2 linked regions of the Danio rerio genome follow. The protein of the gene in region 1 purifies or fractionates together with the protein of each later gene. This does not show direct contact. Links are inferred from orthologs where the notes say so. Each region holds a gene or a part of one and is shown on either strand. Other genes may lie near its edges.

Region 1 (3,835 bases):
TGGTTCAATTTGCCATGAGGAATCATTAAATAGATGTTATATAACATATTCACGCGATTTCTCACCTGGCCATATCTGCAGCGTGTTCCATGGCTTGAGCCGCTGTCACCTGTCTCTGTTGGTCCAACTCTTGAGTGACAATCTTCAGCTTTTGAGAGAGTGAGGAGAGGGAATTGTCCTGCTCAGCCACCGTCTGCTCCATTTCTGCCAACCGGACCAAGTGTTTACTTGTCGGTACGGTGATGGTGGGTTTCTTAATGAGCTCCTACAGAAGAAAAAACTTGACTAACCTAATAAAAATGACAACTGCAATGCTTTATGATATTATTACATTCATTTTGTACACCATGTTTGTTTTTTTAATTCACTTCTGGCCCAATTAGAGCTTTATAATTAATACTCAAGGTACCAGAGCGGTTTGTTTGAAGCGGTCCAGAGATGTGTCCATATAGACGTCTAGTTTCTGATGAAGGGCCCGGACCTCTTCCTCATGTCTTTTGGCAATCTCTTCCTGCTCCTGGAAAAATAAGATGGGATATTTTATTTTAATTGTGCAATAAAAACACAGTTATCAATTTTTACAACATGTTAAACTGGTACCTGGCGAGCCTTTCCTAGAAGGTTCTGGTACTTTTTGAGAACCTCTTCTTTCTGATCCAGACGCCCTTGGAGGTTATTAATGGTTTGGTGAGCGACTTTCAGGGTGGGCTGGCTCTCAGAGTCCTCCTGTTTGCTCAGGTTAGCCAGGAGTTTCTCCCTCTCAGCAGCAGCTGGTAGACGAAGTCTAAGTTCATTGATTACTTTGTCTCGAGATAAAACGTTCTGTTCTGATGACCATAAAGCAGCTTCCTTTTCTTTTAGCTTCTGCTCAGAGAAAAAGAAAATGCTTTTGAGACACCCTTAAAGGAGAAGTTTATCCAAATCTTACATTTTTCTTAGAAGAGCATTAAAATGGTCCTGCTGTGCTAAGATCTGATTTTGTTTTAGTGGCGTACTAGAACGTTTACTCATGCTTATCATTTCAAAAATTATTTTTCACATAAATTGTATTATTGTAATACATTTCTCCCCAACCTCAACATAAGTGGATGAATTCATGTGCTATAAAGCCAGTAGCTCCACTTTAGCACAGATTAACATGACAGCCCCCATCACATGAAGGAATTCGATTATTTTTACATGAACTTTCATATTTAGGCCTTTTGGTAAAGTAAAGGTGAATTGATTTTAAACTTGGATTAAAAAGTACCTCTTCCAGAATTTTGCAGGTAGTTTTTGTCTCAAGAATGGTACGAACATGCTCTTTGATTTTTCCGAGTGCATAGTCTAATTGGTTTGCTAAAGGCTGGTTTGGATCCGGCAGAGAACCTGTGGCTTCCTCAAACTAAACACAGACAGGACAGGTTAAGTGCAGGTTAAACTTTCCTTCAGAAAACAGCATACTAGAGTACAGTAAAAACATTTGCCATGTCTGCCAAGACTTTGTATTGACGGTACCTTCTGAGCTGTGTTCAGAACTTCATTCTGCTGTTTCTCATAGGAGTCAAGTTGACGCTCCAGTTGCACCTCTCTCTGATCCCAGATCAACTGGCGTTCCTCGAGTAGCTGATACAAGGAAAGCGAATAGGACTAGATTTAAGTTTGCTCTATATATAATGTCAAAAAGTGTTTCAATGCAATACTGACATTATTCTGCTGCACCAGCTCTTCTTCCAGGCCACTGATGGTGCGTTCCTGCTCTGCCACACAGTTCTTCAGGTATTTGATCTCTTCCTTCTGAGTGTTCAGCTCTCTGCTCTGCCTCATTTCCAACAGACGAACATCCTCCAGTTTCTTATGCCACTCACTCACCTGTAGGGATGGAGATTAAGCTGTAAACTTATTGTACATTTTAAATACACTAAGAAACACTTTTAATATGAGTAACTTAATTTATGTAAACCTTTAATATGCATTTCTAAACAAAAATCACATCTGTCTGTCTGTCTGTCTGTCTGTCTGTCTATCTATCTATCTATCTATACATCTATATATTGCTATATACTCTATCCATTCATCCATTCATAATTTCTAAATATCAGTTAATCCATCATCTTATCCATCCACTTAATCTCTCCATAGACTCTAGCTATTTATCCATCCAGCAATCCAACAATTGTCTCTACCCATCCATAGATCTACAGCCCCTTTTTACCATCCATCCATCCATCCATCCATCCATCCATCCATCCATCCATCCATCCATCCATCCACTCTTAAACTGTTTATAATTCATTTATCCATCTAGACTCTATCATCACAATAAATGTGCATTATTTTTTTAGAAATTGCATACACAACTTATTCTTGAAAATGTAGCTAGGTATTTTTTCACATCACAGCTTTGTCTGTAATCAATCAACCTACTTTTTGAGCCCCTTTAGCATCTTTGAGTGTTGCTATGAGCTCCTCCAAGCCTTTCAGCTTTAGCTCCAGTTCCTGCGCCTTCCCTTCTGCCTTCCTTCTTTCTTCCTCTGCTATCTGTGCATCCTCTCTGACCCGAGCCCTGTCCTCTTGAAGGTGGAGCATGGTGTTTGAAAACTTCTCCTGCTGGGCTAGCGGCAGGGCTCCTGAGAACTGTCTGCGGAGGGCCTGGATGGTGTGCCGGAGGTGTCTGGCCCGCTGGTGACCCTCCTGCCTCGCGTGCCAGAGTGCCTGCTGTTGCTCATCCAGTTTTTGTTCGTCACGGAGCTTCTGCGCCTCCAGTTTCTGCAGACGTGTGTTTGCGGCCTCCAGACGGCTAATTGCTGTGGTCTCGCTCAGCTGGAGAGCCACAATGTGCTGATGGAGTTTGGCGATCAGGGCCTTTTCATCAGACTCAGCCTGAAGAGGAGAAGTGCAATTATTAACAAAGAATTTTCAATCAATTGTTTTTTTATTTCATGATTCTAATAACGATTCTCAAAAGCAGATGAAAATCAAGATTTCCTTTCCTTTTTTTAATAAAAAAAAAATTATGAACGTAAGAAAATGCAACGTTGAACATTTAATACGCTTTTATTTTAAATTAGAATTTTATTAAGTACTCTGAACATTAATTGGGCATTAATTAGATTTTTTTTGCTCCAATTTAAAATTCCACTTTTTTTTTAAAAAGTGTGTAATTTGATATTGTTTGATTTTTTTCCCTTACATTTTTAATCTGTATTCCAGGGAAGTGTGGGCATGTCTGGAGAAGTGCAGCAGGGCTTATTAATATCAATAAACAAAACATAATGTTGATGTTTCTATATAGTTTTTACTCTCGTATGTCACTTCTAAAATTATTACCATCCGTCTATAATGTCTCACAACTAATGCCGTTAGTATTAATCCAAGAATATAAGTATATCTCTGTGAGTGTCTGTGTGTAGTATACACTACCTGACAAAATTCTTGTCGCCTATCCAAGTTTTATGAACAACAGAGAATAATGCAACTTCCAGTTGATCATTTGGTATCAAAAGTGTCTTATATGAAAGACAAAGGCCTCTAGATTACGCTTATTTTACCAAACTGAAATATGATCATGCCTTGAATTTTAATTATTTAATTAGGACAGTAAGGTCTGACTTTGCTTAGACAAATGTCATGTAACTTAACAGAAATAATGTACAGTATAGAATATAAAGGTGCAGTGGAAAAAGAACTATTATTGTGTATGACTCCCATGACCTTGGAGGACTGCATCCATACATCTTTGCACTGATTCAAATAACTTAATAAAGTCATCTGGAATAGCAAAGAAAGCGATCTTGCAGTACTCCCCATGCCTACTTCTTCATTTTACACTAGAACATGCTCGATAATGTCTGGT
Region 2 (2,440 bases), on another chromosome or scaffold:
TCTGTGCTGGTGTGTTTCCTATTCCCAGTGGTAAAGCACAGTACAGATGAGTGCGTGTGTGTGTGTGTGTGTGTGTTCTGCTGATGTTTGTGTGTGTGTGTGTGTGTGTGTGTGTGTGTGTGTGTGTTCTGCTGATGTTTGTGTGTGTGTGTGTGTGTGTGTGTGTGTTCTGCTGATGTTTGTGTGTGTGTGTGTGTGTGTGTGTGTGTGTGTGTGTGTGTGTGTGTGTGTGTGTGTGTGTGTGTGGTGCAGATGTGGAGCCTGCAGTTCGGGTGAACGCGTGGATGGACTCTGTGTCTCCACCCTTGGCCGCTCCTCCCCCCTCCGCTCCTCCCCCCGCTGTGGCTGCAGACGGGCTGCTCCTGCAGGATCTGGAGGCCCCGGGGCCGCTGGCGTCTGAATCTGCCGCTCCTCCGGCTTCAGCTCCTGACAGCGGAGAGGAGGAGTTTGAGGACTCTCTGGCTCCTCCCACATCCACTCAGCACCGTGCCCCAGGGGAGGAGCCAGTGTGTGGGGGCGTGTCCTCAGAGCATCAGCAGTGTGAGCCGCAGGACGCCGCCGTGAGGATCCAGAGCTGGTGGAGGGGCCAGTGGACTCGCCAGCGCCACCCGCAGGCCAGAGCGGTGCGTGCAGAGATACGCATGCGGAGGATGCAGGACCACATCATACACCTGAGCACACAGCTGGACAGGTGAACTGTTTGTGTGTGTGTGTGTGTGTGTGTGTGTGTGTGTGTGTGTGTGTGTGTGTGTGTGTGTGTGTACTTGTGAGGTAAAGTGGAATGAAGAGCGCTAGAGGTCAGAGGTCGGCTCATCTCTGCTCCGAGAATTGAAGATGACTCTAGTTGAGATCAAGCACAGCGTGAACTGAAGAGTGTGTGTGTGTGTGACTGCTTTGTTTCAGGGTCCGCCGGCAGCAAGAAGAAGAGCGACTGCAGAGACGTGTTCAAGAAGAAGCAGTGAAGGTTCTGTGGAAACAGGTCAGTGAAAAACACACACATAAACACACACAGACACACACACACACACACTCACACACACATAAACACACACAGACACACACACACACACACACACTCACACACACACACACACACACATAAACACACACAGACACACACACACACACACACACACTCACACACACACACACACACACACATAAACACACACACACACACACACACTCACATAAACACACACACACGCTGAACATCTGCTTCTCCAGCTGCAGGTGTTGTTGCAGTGGCAGGCGTCTGTGGACCAGCGGCTTAACACAACACACACTCCTGCGCTCAACAAGACACACACTCCTGCCGACAGCGCAGCACACACTCCTGCAGACAGTAGCACTGACACACACACACACGCTGATCTCTCGGTGCCGGAGTGCGGTTCTCCGTGTGTGAACAGCAGCGCCGCCTCTGGAGACGCGCAGAACTGCAGTCTGCTGGAGCAGTACCTGAGCTCCGTCCAGCAGCAGGACGAGGAGGAGCGCGCCGCACACGACCTCTGACCTCTGACCTGACCGCACCGAGGCATTATGGGATGTTGAAGGTCTCTGCCCTCGTCAGCAGTCGTGTATGATTAAACATCAGTTTTCTGCCAGTTCTCTTCAGTGCTGCTGACGGAGGCTCCCTAAGAAGTGCTGATGCTGTCTGAGTGCACTTACTGGTGCACATCTCTCCTTCACAGCCTGCAGCTGTAGATGAAGACGCCGCCGTGGAGTAATGTCAATGTGTTGGTCATCTGCTGCAGTTCAACCCCGCAGAGAGTTTAGCAGGCTTCAGTGTGTGTGTGTGTGTGTGTGTGTGTGTGTGTGTGTGTGAGCGCGCTCGGCATGTGCTGCAGCAGTCTTCAGTTGAGTGTTTTGTATGTCAGATGTTTTACAAATCATTTTTGTAAATAAAGTTTTAATTTCCTTCACCGCTGTGTGTGTGTGTGTGTGTGTGTGTGTGTGTGTGTGTGTGTGTGTGTGTGTGTGTGTGTGTGTGTGTGTGTTTATTTCCATCAGGAAGATTGGTCTAACACAGTGGTTCTCAAACTGTGGTACGTATACCACTAGTGGTACGCGGGCTTCCTTCTAGTGGTACGTGGAGGGATGCAATATGGCATGTACATGCTACATATATTTCCAAATTTATCAAAAATGATGTATATAGTATGCCATACATGACATACAGCCTATATTTCTGAGGTATTTTGCCACATTTTTTTAACTGTGCAGAGTTGTAGCTGCTTTACTGGGCCTACTACACTACTGTATTTCAATACTGCTCATTTTGGTGGTACTTGGAGAGACTATTTTTTTCTGAGGTGGAACTTAATGAAAACAATTTGAGAACCACTGGTCTAACACATTATTGTTCCCTCATGTGGATTATTCAGTGTGCAGAAATACACAGTATATGTTATAAACACTGAGCTGATGTTGATACTCC

The links.
Region 2: the proteins of cep290 (region 1) and cep97 purify together in Homo sapiens (co-immunoprecipitation; 4 studies listed by BioGRID and IntAct, with this or other methods). This does not show direct contact. The link is inferred for Danio rerio from reciprocal best matches to the Homo sapiens genes CEP290 and CEP97.

Annotation. Positions count from the first base shown.
Region 1 is NC_133200.1:18,927,810-18,931,644, forward strand, and holds part of cep290 (centrosomal protein of 290 kDa), read right to left. Parts: intron 2,863-3,835; coding exon 2,407-2,862; intron 1,852-2,406; coding exon 1,687-1,851; intron 1,606-1,686; coding exon 1,498-1,605; intron 1,385-1,497; coding exon 1,250-1,384; intron 865-1,249; coding exon 601-864; intron 518-600; coding exon 410-517; intron 266-409; coding exon 66-265; intron 1-65. UniProt on the Homo sapiens protein: Involved in early and late steps in cilia formation. Its association with CCP110 is required for inhibition of primary cilia formation by CCP110.
Region 2 is NC_133176.1:204,862-207,301, forward strand, and holds the end of cep97 (centrosomal protein of 97 kDa), read left to right. Parts: exon of another isoform or gene 1-9; intron 10-252; coding exon 253-691; intron 692-903; coding exon 904-979; intron 980-1,227; coding exon 1,228-1,515; 3' UTR 1,516-1,925; downstream 1,926-2,440. UniProt on the Homo sapiens protein: Acts as a key negative regulator of ciliogenesis in collaboration with CCP110 by capping the mother centriole thereby preventing cilia formation. Required for recruitment of CCP110 to the centrosome.